Canis lupus familiaris: one gene and its partners. The protein of the gene in region 2 purifies or fractionates together with the protein of the main gene of each other region. This does not show direct contact. Links are inferred from orthologs where the notes say so. Each region holds a gene or a part of one and is shown on either strand. Other genes may lie near its edges.

Region 1 (5,179 bases), on a different chromosome or scaffold from region 2:
ATGAACAATGTATTTTGTTTTGCTACCAGGTCTAAGCTGATGATTTTAAGAGCATAGAAATGAGATGATGATTGATATCGTTATTATAACCTCTAATTTATTAAGTGTTTATGATGCACTGGGCATGTGCTTAGTGCTTTGTGTCTATATAATCTTCTACAATCCTAATCACAACCTTGTAAGATAGGATTTCTTATCTCTGCTTTAGAGATGAGTAGCTGGGGCTTGAGGAGTGACATACCTGCCCCAAATCATGCTAAGTGGCAGAACCCGAGTCAAACCCCTATCTGTTTGATTCCACAGTCCCTTTCTTAATTATTGCCATTCTCCTGCTTCCCTGTTGTCCAAGTCCAGTAGGGTATGGGAAGGATACACAAGTGTGACAGTGTTCATGTCACTGGAGCCACAGGGGTTTAAAACACCAACATCCAAAAAGGAATAGGAAGAAAGCAGCTGTGGTAAAGAATGGGAAGAGTGGGTAGTCAGCATCCTGTGTCTCCTGAAGTTGGAAAGACCCTTCCTCACTAATTCGGATGAAGCTTTTTTGAAAAAGCCACTGGAGGGATCCCTGGGTGGCGCAGCGGTTTGGCGCCTGCCTTTGGCCCAGGGCGCGATCCTGGAGACCCGGGATCGAATCCCACATCAGGCTCCCGGTGCATGGAGCCTGCTTCTCCCTGTGCCTATGTCTCTGCCTCTCTCTCTCTCTCTCTGTGACTATCATAAATAAATAAAAATTAAAAAAAAAAAAAAAAGAAAAAAAAAAGCCACTGGAGGTTTTAGGGATAAGATTGCACATAGTTGCAGTAGTCCCCTCCCATCCACCCGGTCCAATTTTTTGCCTTCTGCAGTTTCAGTCACCTACAGTCACTGCTGTCTGGAAGCAGATGGTCCTCCTTCTGACATAGGTTGGGCAGGTCAATAGTAGCCAAATGCCCCCTCTCTTCATCTTATCACATAGGCATTTTACCATCTCACAGCAGCATGAGAAGAAGGGGAGTATGGTACAGTGAGATATTTTGAGAGAGAAAGACTGCATTCATACAACTTTCATTATAGTATATTGTTAGAATTGTCCTATTAGTGTTGTTGCTAATCTCTTGCTATGCCTTATTTATAATTTAAACTTTGCCCCAGGTATGTGCAGAAAAAAACATAGTTTGTATAGTGTTCAGTACTATCTGTGGTTTTAGGCATCCCCAAGGGTCTTGGGACACAGCCTCTGGTGGGTAAGGGGGTCTAGTATATATGGAGAATCCAGCTAAGTGAATTTTGAAAAGCTGTATAGTAGGGAAACCCTGATAGTGAATTCTGAGAAGCATTATAAGGATTAAAAAAAGAATTGAAGTTCCAAAGATTGGTCTTCTCCAAGAAAACACCTAGTGGCAGATGACACTGGTGCCAGAGGAAGCACTGGGATGGGAGGCCACATGGCTTCAGCCGTCAAGGCCAAGGAGCTCATGACAGCAAGACTAAGAATGAGGAGTGGGTGCCTCTCTCCAATTTGGGTTGTCTTGTCAAGGACATAAAGTTCAGGTCCCCAGAGGAGATCTATCTTTTCCATCTGCCCATCAGGGAATCTGTGATCTTTGAGGTATTCCTGGGATCGTTCTTCCAGGATGAGGTTTTGAAGATCATACCTGTGCAAAAGCAGACCCATGCTGGCAGGCAGACTGGGTTCAAGGCATTTGTTGCCATTGGGAATTACAACAGACACATGCGTCTGGGTGTTAATGCTCCAACGAGGTAGCCACTGACTTCTGCAAGACCATCATTCTGGCCAAGATCTCTAGTCCCAGTGCAGCAAGGTCTCTGGGAGAACAAGACTGGAAAGCTCCACATCATCACTTGTGAGGTGACTGGACACTGCAGCTCTGTGCTGGTGCACCACATCCCCACCCCCAGGGGCACTGGTATCATGTGGGCTGCTACACGTGGGCCAGGGGCTGCAGAGCCACCCTGGGCAACTTCGCCAAGGCCACTTTTGATGCCATCTACAAGACCTACAGCTGTCTCATCTCAACTCTGGGAAGAGACTCTTTTCACCAAGGCCCCCTATCAGGCATTCACTGACCATCTTGTAATGACCCACACCAGATGCTGTTGCCATCATGAAGTTTATATACAAGAAAAATTAAGGTGAATTAAGCCTGTTAAAAAACAAAAGATCAAAAGATTGACTGCTTGGTACATGATAGGCACTTGCTAAACATTTGCCAAGTAAATAGGTAGGACGGACTGTGGTGGTTCTCTTGACATTTTTGACTGGCATTTTTTCTTTTTTCCAGATATTTCTTCTTGCGGGTAGAAAGCGGAAAAAGAGCAAAACTTCTAACTACCTTATTTCCACTGATCCAACAGATTTATCTCGTGAAGGGGAAAGTTATATTGGCAAGCTCAGGTGAGAGCAGCCTTGTATCACTGACCTATTCTTTCTGATACTTTTATTCCTGTAGTTTCAGAGCAATCTGTATTTTTTTTTACTCTGAGCATGTATGATGTTGTAATCTTTAAAAAAAAAAAAAAGTTCACAGAGCATCTACGTCCCTTCCTTATGTTAATGAGAGATCTTTGAAACAGTGGCGATGAATATTTGGAAAATGGCAGAAGGGCTTCCATTCTGTTCCATACCTGTCCTAGATTTATATTTGTGTAGGAGAAAAAATATAGATCATTAATGGCAACTTTGTCCTCTCGATTCTAGATCCAACCTCATGGGGACCAAGTTTACAGTTTATGACCATGGTGTCAGCCCAACCAAGGCCCAAGGCCTGGTAGAAAAGGCCTATGTCCGGCAGGAGTTGGCAGCCATCTGTTACGTATGTGCCATTCTCGTAAAGCACTCTTTTTCTGAGTCTTTTCCCTAATCTCCTGGGTGTCCTGCTGGCACTTGAAACTTACCCAACACTGAGCTCATGATCTTCCTTCCGAAGCTTGTTTCTATTTCTATAATCCTCCTCTTCTGTTGCTGGTTGCATTTTTCTCTGTATATTCAAGTTTTAATTATTTATGAATTGCCAAGTTTGGTTATTTTTTATTTTTTTCTTTAAAAATTTTTCTTATATTCAAATTCAATTAATTAACATATAGTGTATCATTAGTTTCAGTGGTAGAGTTCTATTATTCATCAGTTGCATACAACACCCATTTCACCACCACGTCCTCCTTTATGCCCATCACCCAGCTACCCCATCCCCCCAACCCCTTCGCCTCCAGCAATCCTTAGTTTACTTCCTAGAGTTCAGAGTCTCTTACGGTTTGTCTCCTTCTCTGATTTCGCATTTCTTCTCTTACCTGCTCTTTCGTTTTCCTAAAACACAGCTTCAGTAGATCCTGTAGTTTTCCTGTTTCAAATCTTCTAACGACTACCCATTGCATCCAGAATAAAGCCCTAATGTGTTAGCCTTTCCTCCCAGACTCCTCTAGTGGTCCTGGCCCCCTCCTGTTCCCCTGTTCTAGCCATGACAGCCCCCTGTCATTCCTTTGCTGCACCATGTGATCTTTCTTCATCCAAGAGCCTTCCTTTCCCTTTCCTTGTCCTTTATCTAATCAGTTGATGCCATTGGAGAAGTCTTTCCTGACCATTGATAGAGTCTACCTTATGTACACATCCCCATGGCACCCTGTGCTTCTTCTTGTAACTAACACATTATACTTATTACTGCTTGTTCAACATGAACCTTCTCTACCAATTTGCAAACTCTTATTCTCTGCTACATCCTCACTAGCAGAGGGACCAGTGCAGGTAGGCACTCAAAGTGTTGTTGAGTAAAAGAAAGCAAGAATCAAATAACCTGACTTAGCTGTTGCTTTGATTCCAAAGTCTTAACTTTTGCTTAATTTAGAATTAATCTCATCATTTCCCATGAGGTTTTATCTATGTGATTGAGAAGCATTTGACTTAGTATTTTGTAACATAGTATATTTTTTTCTCCCACCTTCAGAATCCATTACATATTTCAATTACGTATAACTTTCATATGTATGTACATATGTATGTGTATGTATGTATAGGTGTACAAACACAAACGTATATACCTACCTATTTGCTGTGTTATTTTATTCATATATAGTCTTCCTGGCCTGACAGGTGTTTAAGGTTTTTTTTTAAGGTTTGTTTCCTTTTTTTTTTTTTTTTCAGATTTTATTTATTCATGAGAGATAGAGACAGAAGCAGAGCCAAAGGCAGACACTGAAGTACTGAGCCACCCAGGCATCCCATGTTTCTTTTTTTTAAGATTTTATTTATTAATGAGAGACACAGAGCGAGAGAGAGAGAGCGTGGCAGAGACACAGGCAGAAGGAGAAGCAGGCTCCGGGCAGGGAGCCTGACATGGGACTTGATCCTAGGTCTCCAGGATCAGGCCCTGGGCTGAATGTGGCGCTAAACTACTGGTCCACCCGGGCTGGCCATTTTTTTTTTCTTTTTAATTAAGGTATAATTGACATATTAGTTTCAGATGTACAATGTAATGACTTTTTTTTTTTTTTTTTAGTTTTTAAAAACTACTTATTTTTAAAGATCTTATTTATTTATTTGAGAGAGTGAGAGCGAGCGAGCATGAGAGGGGACGAGGGGCAGAGGGAGAAGCAGACTTTCTCTGAGCAGGGAGCCCAATGTGGACTCAATCCCAGGATCTCGAGACCGTGACCTGAGCCATAAGCAGATGCTTAACCAAGTGAGCCACCTAGGCGCCCCAAGATTTATTTATTTATTTGAGAGAGAGTGCATGTGCACACGTGAGTGGTGGGAGCAGTAGAGGGAGAGAATTCCCCAAGTAGACTCTGCCCTTACTGCAGAGCCCAATGTGAGGCTGGATCTCAGGACCCATGATGTGACCTGAGCCGAAACCAAGAGTTAGACACTTAATCGACTGAGCCACCCAGGTGCCCCAATGTAATGATTTTATATATGTATATATTGCAAGATTTTATATATGTATATATTGCAAGATTTATATATATGTATATATTGCAATGATTTTATATATGTATATATTGCAAGATATGTATATATTGCATCACAGTAAGTCTAGTTAACATCCATCACCACACATGGTTATAATTTTTTTCTTGTGATGAGAACTTCCATGATCTACTCTTAGCAACTTTCAAATATTTACAATATTATTGTTTCCTGTGTATAGTTGACACACATAGTTTCAAGTATACTACTTAGGGA
Region 2 (5,690 bases):
GTCCCTAAGGTAGCCCAGGGAAGTCAGGAAGAGCTGACAGACAAATTATCCTAAAACTGACTCTTGAAAAGAGTAAAATTTGTTCAAATGGACAGGAAGGTGCAAAGGGGCTGTGAGTAAACTGCCAAAAATAGTGCCCTGGCATTTAAAGCGTTGCTCATCAGGATTACCCACCCTCCACGGAGCAACTGGATAAATTCCCACAATTCCAGGCCACTCAGAAAAGTTTCCAGGAAAGCGAGGCCAGGACTAATCCCCTTCCTGCCTGAAAACTGTAGCAAGTGCAGGTCACCACTGAGAGCAAACGTCCAGCTGTGTAATCCAACCTTACGTCACCAGCATGCCTCACTGGCATCTATTCGGCAGAAATAAAAACCTGGATTTCCACTGGATTTTCAAACTTCCCAGTCCCCTGCTTCAGCGAACCTAAGAATGTTCTTCACTGAGAACATAAAGCAATGCACAGAAACTATTCTGGCATCAAAGGAAAAACGTTCCTCTTTCATTTCTTGCTAATAGGACAAACGCCAAGGAAGGGAATTCCCAAATCAAGATGGGAGGAAGGGCTGGCATTATAGAGAAGAAATATGGAATATCAAATCCTTGCTCATTAAGTAATTACTAACTCTTGGAAAACTTTTTTTTTTTTTTTTAAATACTCACCTCTCCAGTCAGAATTGAAGAGTTCTTGCCACTGAGGTGATTCTCAACTTGAGCTGATTCCTGTTGAGCTCGGCGACCCATCCTGGGCCCCTGTAAGGAGAGATGAGGAGCACTGCTGACCTAAACATCTTTGAGCCACTATGAGGATGGGAATTCTGGGAAGGTAAGCAAGGACAGGATTTATGATGACATGGAGGATGGGATTTGAATAAGTTGAATCTATTTTTCAAAAATGCTCCACACACTTAATACAAAGCACCTGACACCATTTCTATTTGCTAGGAAAACACAAAATTCCTGGATTAATGATCACACGTTTCTCTTTTAACTGCCATAGATATTTCCTACCCAAAGAAATGCACGCAGACATTCCTTTAGAATGAACAGAGATCTCATGCCAAAGCTCAGGGAACGTGGTAAAGGCTCTCACGTTCCTATGCAGGATTCTAGAAAGGCCTCATTTCAAAGCTGCAGCTTGGCATGAAATTGTTATTAAAAAGGCTTTTTCAGGGAAAGAATTCCTAAAATACATGGCAACTAGTACTAGAGAAATATAGACAGCATTTGCTTTGATGTATATACTAACTGGACGTGTGCATCTAAATAGCAAAGGAAATCTCTTACAAGAATTTTGAGACATTAGCTTCCGAAATCAGAACACTTTAAATTCTGAGTCATCAAATGAACCATCTGCAGGTGTTTCCCAAAGCCTTCCTGGGGTAGAGGCTCAGTGTCTCAAATATGCTTCCCAGCACAGAAAGAAAACTTTACTTAGGCAGACTAGTGGATACTGAAATATTTCTATTTTCATATGTTGGCTTTTCTAAAACCTGCAGTAATATAAGCCCTTTTAGATCTCATTAGATGTGGCTTCCCTGGATTCTCACAGGGACTAGGACTGAGGCCATTTCACAAACGTGGAAAGCAGGGCCCAAGAAGGCAGGTAAGTGGCAGACGTAAATTGAAGAGCAAAATCTTCTGCCTTCAGATCCTCAGTTCTTTCCACTATCTCAGGCTGGAGTTTCAGTTTTCAGATGTTCTAAGAACCGCCTGCACCAATACACTGAGAGGGGTTACACGTGGGTTGCCTAAAAACCCCTATGTACTGCTTACTTTTCCAACTCTTACCAATAATTTGGGTTCCAGGGATGACGGAAACCATCTTTCTGAGCAGCCACCCATTTTCTTCCCAAGGCAGATAATTCCGCCCGTTTGGCTATCACTCTTTCCCCTTTATCCGAACATTTAGTATCAGAACATGGCATACTACGTGTAGTTGTGTCAAAACAAAAATTCAATGATCTTGTCTCTAAATGCAGTTTACAGATGGTTTCTCTAATAACTGTTAAGTATTTTAAGGTTTTAAGCTTTTTGAAGATCCTGCCTAAATCCACAGGAATGACCTGTAGCAAAACTACTTTACTATACTTAAATGTACATCTATTGTAAATGTAGAGTCTGTTGATTGTCCATCTTCCCCCGCTGGATTGTAAGCCCTCCGAGGACAAGGACTTTGCTGCTTGTTGTTGCTGTTTAAGACTTTATTTTTTCTAAATGATTTATATACCCAACGTGAGGCCTGAGATCAAGGGTTGCATGCTCCAGACTGAGCCAGCCAGGTACCCCTGTGGGGTTTTTTTTGTTTTGTTTTCACTGCTATAGCTCCAGCACCTAACACGGTGCCTGATACACAGTGAGAACTCAGTAAGTATTTGTTGAAAGCATGAATGCATAACTACATTCTCAGAGACTAAAACAAGTTCACATATCAGAAAGACCCAGTAACCTGATACTGGTCAGTCAAGCAACCTGCTTTATCCTAGAACACTATATTCTTGCCTCCAGGACCTTGGAAGACGGCTGATGTTTACCAGGGCCCTTCAAAAGCACTTAGAGCTTCCATAGCAGAAAGTAAAAACCTGCTGTGTGCCCCAATCTTCTAGGGACTGTGATCTTGACAAATTTTTAAAGGTAAGAAAGGCTTGATGCTGGGGATCCCCGTGTGGCTCGGCAGTTTAGAGCCTGCCTTTGGCCTGGGGTGTGATCCTGGAGTCCCAGGATCGAATCCTGCATTGGGCTCCCTCCATGGAGCCTGCTCCTCCCTCTGCCTCTGTGTGTGTGTGTGTGTGTGTCTCATTGATAAATAAATGAAAGAAAGAAAGAAAGAAAGAAAGAAAGAAAGAAAGACAGACAGACAGACAGACAGAAAGAAAGAAAGAAAGAAAGAAAGAAAGAAAGAAAGAAAGAGGCTTGATGGGATGGTAATGGAGCTCAACAACATTAAGCCTGGGTCTTGAAGCTACATCAATGATCTACTGACAATGTACATAAGTGGGTAAATCACAGCCTCAGAAGCCACAGCAGCTAACTTCTAAGAACCTAGCACGTGCCAGGCACTGTATTAAATGCCTCCCATACACTACTCCATTTCACCTTCACCGAAGCACTTTGAAGTAGATAACATCTCCATTCTAGAGATAAGGAAACCGAGGTTGGGGAGGGTTCGTTTAATATTTGAAACTTGAGTAGTTGACACACGATGTTAACTTTTTTTTTTTTTTTAACCCCAGTAAGCAGCTTCACACTCCATTTGACCTCCAGGCCCCCCAGCACCTGGCCACCACTCCACGTTATAAATCATAAACCTAAGGTCACGCCCACCCACCCCCACCCCGTGGGAACTGCGGGCAACAAGAGGCCCTTCAGCCGGCCTGCCAGCCTGCCTTCCACGCGTAAAACACTGCGGTTCTGACATGAACTTCGGGCACGAGAAATGTCAGGGGGAAGCCCTAGGGTGGGTGCAAGCGCGACCCTGGCCGGGGCGCCCCCGGGCAGCCCCGCAGACGCTCCTTCCAGGTGTGCTAGCACCGGGGGCTCTAAGAGCGGAGCCTGCTGGAGGCTCAGAGGCCGGCAGGGGCAGGTCCCGTCTTGCTGCTTTTAGAGAAGTTCGCAGAGAGCAAACCCCAGGCCCGCGGCGGCCGAGCGCACCGCGCCCCGGGGGCGGGGCAGCTGCCGCCGCCTCTTCCCGGGCCTCACCCCGCGCCCGCCCGCCCGCTGCGGCCACCGCGGCCACGCCAGGCCGGGGCGCCTCCGGGAAGCCGGGCGGCCAGCGCGCTCCTCCCCACCCGCCAAATCCTAGCCCCCGGCCCCCAAGGCGGTCCTCACGGAGGTGGTCGAGCCGCGACGCCGCTCCCCGCCGAGGTCCAGCAGGTCCTCCATCTCCGCGGCCGCCTGACGTCATTTCCTGGAAACCCGGCGGCCCGGTCGCGTCCCTGGCGACGGCTCCGCCCCCTTTATCTCCATATTTAAAGGATCCGCGACATTATTCCTGGATTCTGTGCAGCCCCCTTTGAATTTAAACCCAAAACTCTCCTAAACTGCCTTGTCTGACTTCTGTTAAATTCCGCTAAGGTCGCTCCTAGGGGACAGTGAAAAAGAAATATATTAGCCTTTAGGAACTGTCTGCATTTGTAGCTCTTTCTAAATAGGTGTTAATTAAGAACAAAGCACTACCAGTAACAGTAGTGATTAAATCGATCCCTTCTATTTATATAGCCTTTCGCTATGAATAAAGGACTTTAAGACTTATTAGCTCACGGGAAGGGTATAATAACCTTATGTGAAAAACAAGGTGAGTCTCTTATCTCCATCAGACAGATAAGAAAACAGGCTCACAGGAGGGGGGAGTGGTCAGGGGCAAATAAATAGTTTCTAACGGAACATGCAAAATACATCATCTCTGCCTTCAAGAAGTTTACAGAGAGGCTGAACCAAGACGTCAAATACCTAAGTGATAACATTCAAAAGTCAAGTAATCCAGGGATCCCTGGGTGGCTCAGCGGTTCAACACCTGCCTTTGGCCCAGGGCGTGACCCTGGAGACCTGGGATGGAGTCCCACATCAGGCTCCCGGCATGGAGCCTGCTTCTCCCTCTGCCTGTGTCTCTGCCTCTCTCTCTATATATATCATAAATAAATAAAATCTTAAAAAAAAAAAGTCAAGTAATCCCTCCAACAACTCCACAAAGTGAGCATCAGTGATACTTCTATCCAGCAATTGAGGACTGTAAGGTGCAAAGAGGTGGCTTGAGGGAAATCACCTGAGTGCCAAGCAGCAGAGCTTGATGCCTTTTTGATATCAGATCTTATAAGAGTATTTTTCTCCCGCACATATTACTGGGTGCCTGCCATACTCCTAGGTCAGCAGAGGAAGGTGTCCTTCAAATTGCCAACCTAATGGGGCAAGCGAGTTGAGTCTTCACTGACTCTCCATGTAAGATCCCCAAGTCAACACCAATGGCCAGGTCCCTGGTACTGGTCAGCTAGGGCCCCCAGAAGATGATCTCATGGGCCTGAAAGTGAGCAATATCCCCAATATCATGCTGTGGGTGAGGTCTAGATAACCACTGCTAAAAAGCAAGGACTTGAAAGTGGGAGTAGCAGCCCCTAAGGCTGGATTACAAGCTTCTTAAATACCCCTTAAATTACTCAATTTAATTGGTCATCCACATGTTTACTGGGTAGGGTTATGTGCTAGCCTTGCAACAGCAATAGCACTGCTTGCATGTCCCAAGAGTTGACGGTCTCTTCCTGGCGCTGCTGATAACTACCTGTGTGGCCAGGCAAAGCCCTCTCTGGACCTCAGTCTCCTCCCTGGTAATTGCTTTTAGGGATTTCCCCTAGGATCGGATTCTCACTGAGAATACCCGGTTAGATTTTAATCTGAAGAAATGTTCATTGCCAAAACCCAAGATAAATGAAATACTGGCTCCAATGAATCCTTAGTTTTCTTCTTCCTTGGCACCAGATGAGGAAGAAGGGATTAATCTTTGGATTTTTCCATCTTGTGTGAGCTCATAGCTACACTACTACCACCTTGCTGGCAGTTTTCAGACCTTAACTCCCACTTCTTCCCTGACTTCCGGAAAACAAAAGGTGCATGGTACTCACTGAGCAGAAAGAAACCCTAGAGCAGTGGCTTCCAGACCTTGCTGAGCACCTGAATCACCTGTGAGGTTTGTTAAAAAA
Region 3 (5,179 bases), on a different chromosome or scaffold from region 2:
GTGGGCGGTTCCAGAACATCAGATACTTAGCCTCATCCGTAGTAAGAGAACTACAGATCAAAACTCACAGAGGAAAAAAAAAAAAAAAACAAAACAAAACTCACAGAGGTCCTATTTGCCCTAAATTAGGCCAATAAAGGTGAAAAGCTTGGCAGACCTGCCAGCCTGTTGTGGGAGCAGACTCTACAGGCAGTGCCTGTCTCCATAGAACTTAGACATCCCTCCACTTGGCGCGTCCCATCCTTGGGATCCGTCTTCTGCACATTTGCATGCGTGGGGTGACACACACTCGATGGCTGGACCAGCTCTCTGCTGCGGGCAGGACCACTGGGGATGTCCCTGCTCTCGCTGTGGCGGAGCACCAAGCAGCCTCTTACATACGGAGATGGGATTGCCTCCAGGATATACGTGTTGTTTTGTTTTTTTTTTTTGTCCAATACATGTTATTTAGTGGAGGGCATAAAATTTCTCTTACATTTTTAAGAAGATTAATCAAAACCCTTAGCCTAAAAAATAGAAAAGCAGTGTAGGAGAAAATTGGTTTCTGGTTTCTTTTCCTCCCACAACCAACACAGTATTCTTTTGAGCTCCACGTTCCCCTCATTGCATCTCAGGGTGTTAAGAGTGTGAATCACATGGCTGAGTGTCGGCCTGTGCCCGGTGAGCGCATCCCATCCTTGCCCTTTCACGTGCACGGCGGGCCGCAGGCAGGGGCTGCCACTGGGCTGAGGGCCTGGCCTCCCCTGCCACCCGGCGGTAACCGCCCCTTGCCGGCTTCTGTGGCGCCCTGCAGTATCACGAAGCCCTGCGGCTTTGCCTGGAGCAGAACATGACCATCACCGAGGAGATGGCCGAAAAGATGACCGTGTCCAAGGACTCCAAGGACCTGTCTGAAGAGTCCCGGCGCCAGCTGCTGGAGCAGATTGCGAACTGCTGCATGCGCCAAGGCAACTACCACCTGGCGACCAAGAAGTACACGCAGGCAGGGAACAAGCTGAAGGTGAGCGCTGGCCCGGGCGGCCCGTCACGTCAACCAGCGTGTGGCTTCCACCGCCAGTTGGGAGCGGTGTCCCCACGGTTGGGTTTCCATCTGACCTGAGTGCAGCTCTTGGGCATGAGTTTCCCCAGCCAGGGCTTCCCAGGACACGGTGCACGGAGGAGCCCTGAGCTCCCTCTTGTAAAATCCTGTGTGATCCTTGGGGGAGGGCTGGGGGACCTTCACCACAGGCTCTGAGCCCAGCCCCCTCTTCCTCTTCCTCATCTAGGCCATGAGAGCACTGCTGAAGTCTGGGGACACGGAGAAAATCGTGTTCTTTGCAGGCGTCTCGAGGCAAAAGGAAATCTACATCATGGCTGCCAACTACCTGCAGTCCCTGGACTGGCAGAAGGAGCCGGAGATCATGAAGAACATCATCAGCTTCTACACCAAGGGGCGCGCCCTAGACCTTCTGGCCGGCTTCTACGATGCCTGTGCCCAGGTACAGAGCCTCCTCCCAGAGCCAGGACCCCCGGGAGGGTTGTGGAGCCCTGTGGGCCCTGACCGGCCTTCTCCATGTAGGTGGAGATCGATGAGTACCAGAACTACGACAAAGCCCACGGGGCGCTGACCGAGGCCCACAAGTGCCTCTCCAAGGCCAAGGCTCAGAGCCCCCTGGATCAGGAGACCAAGCTGGCCCAGCTGCAGAGCAAGATGACGCTGGTGAAGAGGTTCATCCAGGCCCGAAGGTGTGTTCACAGCAGAGCGAGGAAGCGGGGATACAGAGTGGGCTACACCTCGGGCCCCGTGGAGCCCCCAGACCCCTCCGCCTGCCGGGGACCAGACTGGTTTCACTTCTAGTGAGCGTTTCCGCAGAGGAGCCCCGTGGACCCTAAGTAGGACACACGGACATGATGTTGCCTCCTTTGTGCTGAGCTCCTCCTGGGGAATCCCCCAAACCTGGGCACACTGCCAGGAAGACCGTTCCAGAAAGCGAAGTCTGGGGTGGGAGCGGTGAGGCAGATGCAGGTCAAGAGAGTGGATGTCTGAGGGGAGCCCGGGACCTGCTCAGGTGTGAGCGGGACTCCAGCTCAGTGGTTTCAAGCAGGTGGGCCACTATGCCACCTGGGGCCACAGGAAGGAGGAGGCTGGGGGCAGCACGGTGTTGCTATTTCAGGAGAGACCATGCATCTAAATTTGGACATGAGGCCAGTTTTTATCTATTGGCAACTCATTCAGCTTTTCCAATAGCCCGCTGTGTGGGCAGCAGAGCTCAGCTTCTGCCTAAACCAATGAAAGCATTTTCCTTATCTGGGAACAAGCTTTTGGAAGAAAAGATCCAAAACTATATTGAACTCTGTTGTATAAAGTGGGGCTCCCTGCTTGGAGGTTTAAGTCCTGGAAAATCTGCTGAGCTGGGCTGCAGGAGGGCTGGCGGGGGAGGGGGCCGATGGGCGGCAAGGACTGTTCACCCTGTGCCTGACCACCTCGGGCAGGGTGCCCCATGTCCCCCCTGCCTCACAGTGTCCCCCACCAGACTGGTAACCAGGCGGGGCCTGGGGTGACAAGCTGAGTCTAGCGCGGTACAAGGACTATGATTTATTAGTAAGTTTTTATTAAATGAATCAGTGAGTTTATGAATGAACTCATTAATGAATTCATTGCATTCTCGGGAATTGACTTTACAAAAGTTTGGTCCCGCCAACCCGAGCTGCTCATTTGGGCCACAAGGCCACTCTGAGCCTTGATGCACAGCAGTGTTCTGGGTTTGGGCTTCACCGACTCTGCTCTCGGCAGGATGTACCCCGAGGACCCCAAGGAGGCGGTGAAGCAGTGTGAGCTGCTCCTGGAGGAGCCAGAGCTGGAAGGCACCATCCGCATGGGGGACGTCTATGGCTTCCTGGTGCAGCACTACCTGCAGGGGGAGGAGTTCCACATGGTGAGGCTGCAGCCTCTGGCTGCCTGAGGGCTTCAGGGTGCTCCAGGGTGACTGTGGGAAGGCTGCACCCACGGCCGTCCCCACTCTCTGAGCCCAAGGGAGCTGGGAGCTCTTGGTGAGGAGGCGCTTCTCCTGTTCCTGTTGGACTTTGAAATCATTTCAAACTGAGAAGTTTCAAGAATAATAGAACCCAGATATACCCTTTACTAGATTCGGCACTTTTTAACATTTTGCCACACTTATTCTATATGTATGCTTTCATATTTCTATTTTATATATAAAATGGGTATTTTTTCTGAGCGATATGTGAGTTGCAGCCATCTTGCCTTCCCCCTTAGTTCACTAACACTTGGTTGGACACCCAGGGCTGGGACAGCGGGGTCATACGGCTAGTGTGTTTCACGTTTTCTGAAACTGACAGACTTTTCTCTAGTTTCTCTCTTGTAGAGTCTCCTTCGTTGTTGGTGTCAAGGTTATTATAGCCTTATGGTGTGTGCTTGGGAGCGTGCCTGCCTCCTGTATTCTCTGAGTTTAGCTAAGATTGTTCTTATTTCTTTCTTCAGTTTTTTTTTTTTTTTTTTTTTTTATTTATTTATTTATTTATGATAGTCACAGAGAGAGAGAGAGAGGCAGAGACACAGGCAGAGGGAGAAGCAGGCTCCATGCACCGGGAGCCCGATGTGGGATTCGATCCCGGATCTCCAGGATCGCGCCCTGGGCCAAAGGCAGGCGCCAAACCGCTGCGCCACCCAGGGATCCCTCTTTCTTCAGTTTTGATAGAATGCATGAGTGAGCTGACCTGGGCCTGGAGCTTTCTTCGTAGAAGGATTTCTTTTTTCTTTTTCTTTTTTTTTTTAAGATTTTTATTTATTTATTCATGAGAGATACACAGAGAGAGAGAGAGAGGCAGAGACACAGGCAGAGAGAGAAGCAGGCTCCATGCAGGGAGCCCGACATGGGACTCGATCCCGGGTCTCCAGGATCACGCCCTGGACTGAAGTCGGCGCTAAACCGTTGAGCCACCCGGGTTGTCCCTTTTAAAGGATTTCGATGATTCATTTCAGCACAGCGGTGCCCAAACATTTTGGTCTCAGGACCCCTTTGCACTGGGACACCGAGTAGGAAAAGTAGCACTGTTTTGCACGTTTCCAGGTCTCTGTAATGTCTTAGAGGACAGCTGGAGGGACTCTCCATTTCTGCTTCTGCTCTCAATTTGGTCAAATGGTTTTTTTTAGCTGAAATACATGAAGAAAATCTAGCCTCACACCAGTATGCAGGTGAGAGAGGCCGGGCCCTCAGATAGTCGCAGGCCACTTTTGAGCCTACACCAAAACTCAGCCAGTGGGGCCTCTTAACAGCTGCCAAGTCGGGATGTTGTTGTAATACTCCTACGTTACAGCTCGCTGGTCCATCTTGAATCTTTTACACACACATCATTTTATAACAGCAAGTTGTTCATCTGGAAAATATGGCTTCACCAAATTAGCAAATGTTAACATGTTTCATTATAGAAATCAAAAAATCCTGTTTGCTGGTATCACCATCAACCTCATCAGAAAAGTCTTTAGGTTTTGGGAGGATGTCCAGCTCTTGGTGGCTGATACCTAAGGTTTCTGAAATTCTTCTTGTGAAAGCTCCCATTCTATCCTGAGTGAAAACACGGCCCATTACTATTTTCCTTGAAGTGGTGGCCGCCTTTGTTCATTTCTGAGAAAACATCTGCCACAAACCCAGGCCTGAGTAAAACCACCTGAACTTCAGTCACGTTTCCAAAGATGGTGTCCCGCGCGGAAGGGACGAGTTGAGCTCACACTGCACTGATGTGCTCCCTCATCTCTGCCCACACTTGGTATGATGGGCCTTTAATGCCCACGGTCCCAGTGGGTGCAGAGCGAAGTCTCTATGTGGCTTGAGTGTACCCTCTCCAGACTAGCAGCGTTGAGCCCCTTGTCATATGCTTATCTCCTCCTCTGAGTGTCCGAATCATCCCCCATTGTTTTGTGCAGGGTTTGTCTTCTTCCGTTGCTTGTGGCCCTTGTGAATTCGAGGTACTTTTCCGTGACTGGCAGATGCCCTGCCAGTGTTTTCTGTCCATCTGTGGGAAGTCCTCTTCTTTCTCTGTGTCCTCTCCCTATGGAACTCCAATTATCTGTGTAGATTGTGTCTTGGCTCAAATGATTCTCTTCTCTTTTCATTTTCCAGAATTTTTTCTGATTTTTATATTTGGCCCTTGCTTTTGCTTCAAGTTCATGAGTCTTGGACAG
Region 4 (5,179 bases), on a different chromosome or scaffold from region 2:
TGTTTTTTTTTTGTTGTTGTTTTTTTTTTTTAATTTATGATAGTCACCGAGAGAGAGAGAGGCAGAGACACAGGCAGAGGGAGAAGCAGGCTCCACGCACCGGGAGCCCGATGTGGGATTCAATCCCAGATCTCCAGGATCGCGCCCTGGGCCAAAGGCAGGCGCCAAACCGCTGCGCCACCCAGGGGTCCCTACATAAAGTTTTTAATGTTTAATCATGACTAGTAGAGAAATCTTCAGTTTGATAAATGGTTTTTCCATAATTTTGTTCATAGCACTTATGCTGTGTATATTACCTGTTATATAAAATTTTATACCAAGAAGACATACAAAGATATACAAGGCATTATGACAAGGGATAGTAAAAATTTGTTCTTAAACATAAAAGATCTAGACTTTTTTTGGGGGGGGGTGATGACTTTTTTTTTTGAAATATTTTTAAATTTTTATTTAAATTCAATTAACATATAATGTATTATTGGTTTCAGAGATAGATCAGTCTTATATAATACCCAGTGCTCATTATATCATGTGCCCTCCTTAATGTCCATCATCCAATTACCCCGTCCCTCCACCCCCCTTGCCTCCAGTGACCCTCAGTTTTTTTTATTTTATATAAATTCATGTTAGTTAATATATAGTGTATTATTAGTTTCAGAGGAAGAATTTAGTGAATCCAGTTCTATATAACACCAAGTGTTCATTATATCAAGTGCCCTCCTTAATGCCTGTCATCAGTTACCTCATCCACCTCCCCTCCTGAACCATCAGTTTGTCCTAGAGTTGAGTCTTTATGGTTTACCTCCCCCTCTGCTTTTATCTTATTTTTCCTTCCCTTCCCCTATGTTCATCAGTTTTGTTTCTTAAATTCCACATGAGTGAAATTATATGGTATTTGAAAAGATGTAGACTTCTGAATATATATATAACTTTGTAACAGGTGATTTAGGAAAAAAAAAAAAAAGAATTCAGTGTTATTTCATAATCTTGAGAGATTTGCCTGAAAGGATTAATGGAAGTAACATTTGGGCTCATTTGAGAAAGTAATTGTTTGGCTGAAATACATTAGTATAACTCAGGGTCTGATTTGTTAGTTATTTGCCTGATAATTCCAGGAACATGATGAACTGTGTCTGGCTGGAGTGGCCCAGATGTCCATACGAATGGGAGACATACGCCGAGGAGTTAACCAGGCCCTGAAGCATCCCAGCAGGGTCCTGAAAAGAGACTGTGGAGCTATCTTGGAGAATATGAAGGTATACTTTTCTCTGAATAAATATTCCTGCGATCTTATATGTAACAAATTCAGTGTTTTAATAATCTCATATTACTTTAGCAATTTTCAGAAGCAGCCCAACTGTATGAAAAAGGTCTCTATTTTGACAAAGCAGCCTCTGTTTACATCCGCTGTAAGAATTGGTAAGAATTTGCTACAGTTTGTTCTGAGCAGGTGTGGAAATGAATGGGTCCTGGTGGTCTGCCCTCCTGCCTGTACATCCTGTTCCCTCTTCTCTTTTTCTCCTTCTTCTTAGAGGAGTTCATAGTTTGCTTTCCAAAAAAAACAAAACAAAACAGTACATCCTGTCAGTTTGGTGTGGGGACATCCCTGATCAGACACATTACTGGGGAAAATAGCCCTATTGTCCTCGAAGAGCTAATGAACTAACCTTCATTTTCTCACAGAGAAGGAGGACAGGGGTGGGTGTCATAAGGAAAAGCAGTTATGTCTGCTTTTATCCGTAGGAAGCAAGATTTTTTTTTTTAAAGATCATGAGAACTGTGTTTTGAATCCTAAAAACATCTGATTGTAAGGAGCTACTTTGGGAGTGAATATAGTGCTGACATTATTGTCCTAAACCTACATTTTAGGGCAAAAGTTGGTGAGCTTCTGCCTCGTGTTGCTTCCCCAAAGATTCACCTGCAGTATGCCAAAGCAAAAGAAGCAGATGGAAGGTTTGTACGTTGTCTCAAATTCATACAAATTGAAAGCACTGTGTAAGTTTGATAAATTAACCATCCACCTTTGTACCTCTACGAAAGGCAGAGTGGAGGAAGAAAACATCTTTACCCTTTGCCAGGCCTGAAGTGCCAGACTGTTCAGTTTCTCCCATATCTTATATCCCTCAATTGATCCTTTGTGTGTTCAGATATAGAGGCTACTGTCTCTTTTGAGAGTTAAATACTAAAAGTTGATATTTTGATATAATATGGCATTAAAACAAAGTGATCCTCATTTTATTAAGAGGAATAACTTACAGATGCAGAAGACAAGAGCAGTGAAGAAATATGAACTCCATACCTATGACTGCACAGTATGAGCTGCAAAACAATGTCAAGATATTGCAGTGGAGAGTTAATATCCTAAATATACAAAGATTCCCTGCAACTTGATATAAGAAATTCAAAGTCAAGGAATCCCAGAGTAGAAAACACAATTATGAAATTGCTTTTCATACAAACAACAAAAGTTCTACCTCACTAATAATAGCTAAAGTGACAGTATGTTATTTTTTAACCTATAATATCATGGAAGATTTTAAACTAATCACCAAATCATCAAAACATACTCTGAAAAAAAAAAAAGTACTCTGTATGCATGATTGATGGGAGTATAATTTCTATAGCCTTTGGAAAATTATTTGGCAATAGACATTAAAAGATTTTTAAAGGTCAGTACCATCTACTTTTAGAAAAGCAACCTTAGGAAACAGATATAACACTAAGTATCTTGTTAAAAGGGAAAGAGCTGGAGAGCTCGTCTGGAAGAGAAGTCTTGAGCTCCATCTAGAGGTCAACGTGCAAAGATTTTCTCTGTCACCCTCAGCTGTATCCATAAATGTGAAATAGTCTGTATTTTCTTTAAAATAAATTTCCATTCCTACTCAAAAAACAACAGCACAGTGAGGAAAAAAAGCAAAGTGTAAAAAATGATACGGTTTAGACGAGAAAAAGCAATTTGATATTAACACTTTACTGTTAGTTTATCAGACCTCTAAAAAGAACACATTTTATATATTTATATATATTTCATTTATATATATTTCAAGAAAAATAAGCAACCACCATCAGTAAAAAAAACTGTCCAATTTATTGACACTTTCCCCCCAAATGTGGCAGTGTTAAGAAAGCTTTTCTGAACCAAATATTTCTTATAGATACAAAGAAGCTGTTGTGGCTTATGAGAATGCAAAACAATGGAACAGCGTAATCCGCATCTATCTGGATCACCTCAACAATCCCGAAAAGGCTGTCAGTATTGTCAGAGAGACCCAGTCTTTGGATGGCGCCAAAATGGTAGCCAGGTAACAGAATGCATTATTTTTGGACTTCCAAAAACTAGCCTTAAAAGAAAGTGCCCCTTCCCTTCATCAAATAAATACATTCAAAGGGAATATTTATTCCTTTTCATTTTTTTGGTAGGTCTAAGTGTTTAAATTCAGTCTGTTTCTGGTAGAGTGTAAGAGTTCATTTTTCAAATATAAGCATATGTAGTGTGTAGAACTGCAGTTTGATTAATTTTTATTTTTTTATTTTTTATTTTTTTAATTTATTTTTTTTAAGATTTTATTTATTTATTCATGATAGTCACACAGAGAGAGAGGGAGAGGCAGAGACACAGGCAGAGGGAGAAGCAGGCTCCATGTAGGGAGCCCGACGTGGGACTCGATCCCGGGTCTCCAGGATCGCGCCCTGGGCCAAAGGCAGGCGCCAAACCACTGCGCCACCCAGGGATCCCTAATTTTTATTTTTAAGTGGTTTCTCATAGTTGCAAAAAGATTTGATTTTGTAAATGACAAACTTATTTTACATGAATCAAGGTGATTAAAGTACTTTGTTTTAGGTTTTTCCTACAGTTGGGTGACTACGGGTCTGCCATCCAGTTTCTCGTTATGTCTAAATGTAATAATGAAGCTTTCACACTGGCTCAGCAGCACAACAAAATGGAAATCTATGCAGACATTATTGGTAAATACCATTGTTTTCCCAAATTTCTCCTAAAGATTTGTGACCTAGAAATACTTGACCCTTAGAATCTAATTATCAGATTGGCATGCCCATAAGCACACGCACACACACCATTTATACGTAGATACATGCATATCTATATGTTACTTGTTAGATTTCAAGATTCCTACCGTCTTAAAGGTGAAATGGAATTATAAGACCATTTTCAAAAATTAAGGTTTTTGGGTAACCTCTAAAAGAGGCCAGATTTCCCAAATTCTGTTTGTCAACCAGTAGTAAAACAAAGTTCCAAAATGAAGGTGATAGAAAACACAAAAGAATTGTCTAAGAAATATTTTCATGAATTTTTAAAAGTGACTTACAAATTAAGATTATATGGTTATTCTTTGATGAAGAGTGATATACACAAGATGTGGTTTTCCAAAAGAAAGTCCAAAAGAGAATTTTATAGTCTGAGAACACATGCTAATAGGTTTTCTTCCCTTGCTTGCAATTATTCTTAGAAACTACTGAAATAATTTTCAGATTCTCATTTTATGGGCCATACATAATGTTATTTGTGGTAGTGTTTTGTTTTGTTTTTATTGTAGAAAAAGTATATAACATAAATGTGCCATTTTAACCATTTTTACATGTACAGTTCAGTCATATTACGTACATTCACATTATTGTACAACCATCACCATCACTCATCTCCAGAACTTTTTCATCATCCTGAACTAAAACCCTGTATTCATTAAACAGCACCTCCCCACTTCCCTGTCCACCAACCCCTAGTAGCCACTATTCTACTTTGTCTCTATAAATTTGACTATTCATTGTACATCATATAAGTGGAGTCACAAAATATTTGTCCCTTTGTGTTATTTGGGGTTTTTTAAAATTTCTTTTTGTTTATTATTTATTTATTTATTTATTTTTTAAGTTGGCTCCACGCTCAGCGTGGAGTCCAGTGTGAGGCTTGAACTCATGACCCTGAGATCAAGACCTGAGGTCTAATCAAGAGCTGGCACTCAATGGACTGAATCCCCCCAGACACCCTTGTGTTATTTGGTTTTAAAAATTCACAAGATGACCATAAGAAATGATGATAGAATTTATTAGAAAATTTTTATTTCAGTCTTTCAGACAAACAGGTGAAAGCATCTTCTAATATCTTAGCCATTCAGATAATTGGAGAAAATAAAAAGCTAAAGAAAAAAAGGAAATAGAG

What was found.
Region 1: the proteins of IFT43 (region 2) and TULP3 purify together in Homo sapiens (affinity purification with mass spectrometry; 5 studies listed by BioGRID and IntAct, counting the BioPlex papers as one, with this or other methods). This does not show direct contact. The link is inferred for Canis lupus familiaris from reciprocal best matches to the Homo sapiens genes IFT43 and TULP3.
Region 3: the proteins of IFT43 (region 2) and IFT140 purify together in Homo sapiens (affinity purification with mass spectrometry; 3 studies listed by BioGRID and IntAct, counting the BioPlex papers as one, with this or other methods). This does not show direct contact. The link is inferred for Canis lupus familiaris from reciprocal best matches to the Homo sapiens genes IFT43 and IFT140.
Region 4: the proteins of IFT43 (region 2) and WDR19 purify together in Homo sapiens (affinity purification with mass spectrometry; 3 studies listed by BioGRID and IntAct, counting the BioPlex papers as one, with this or other methods). This does not show direct contact. The link is inferred for Canis lupus familiaris from reciprocal best matches to the Homo sapiens genes IFT43 and WDR19.

What each region holds. Positions count from the first base shown.
Region 1 is NC_049248.1:4,214,722-4,219,900, forward strand, and holds part of TULP3 (tubby-related protein 3), read left to right. Parts: intron 1-2,285; coding exon 2,286-2,398; intron 2,399-2,701; coding exon 2,702-2,816; intron 2,817-5,179. UniProt on the Homo sapiens protein: Negative regulator of the Shh signaling transduction pathway: recruited to primary cilia via association with the IFT complex A (IFT-A) and is required for recruitment of G protein-coupled receptor GPR161 to cilia, a promoter of PKA-dependent basal repression machinery in Shh signaling.
Region 2 is NC_049229.1:49,262,860-49,268,549, reverse strand, and holds the start of IFT43 (intraflagellar transport protein 43 homolog), read right to left. Parts: upstream 3,978-5,690; 5' UTR 3,883-3,977; coding exon 3,829-3,882; intron 754-3,828; coding exon 664-753; intron 1-663. UniProt on the Homo sapiens protein: As a component of IFT complex A (IFT-A), a complex required for retrograde ciliary transport and entry into cilia of G protein-coupled receptors (GPCRs), it is involved in ciliogenesis.
Region 3 is NC_049227.1:39,775,042-39,780,220, forward strand, and holds part of IFT140 (intraflagellar transport protein 140 homolog), read left to right. Parts: intron 1-793; coding exon 794-1,000; intron 1,001-1,265; coding exon 1,266-1,478; intron 1,479-1,558; coding exon 1,559-1,725; intron 1,726-2,773; coding exon 2,774-2,915; intron 2,916-5,179. UniProt on the Homo sapiens protein: Component of the IFT complex A (IFT-A), a complex required for retrograde ciliary transport and entry into cilia of G protein-coupled receptors (GPCRs).
Region 4 is NC_049224.1:73,740,602-73,745,780, reverse strand, and holds part of WDR19 (WD repeat-containing protein 19), read left to right. Parts: intron 1-1,115; coding exon 1,116-1,256; intron 1,257-1,336; coding exon 1,337-1,419; intron 1,420-1,869; coding exon 1,870-1,953; intron 1,954-3,155; coding exon 3,156-3,302; intron 3,303-3,841; coding exon 3,842-3,966; intron 3,967-5,179. UniProt on the Homo sapiens protein: As component of the IFT complex A (IFT-A), a complex required for retrograde ciliary transport and entry into cilia of G protein-coupled receptors (GPCRs), it is involved in cilia function and/or assembly.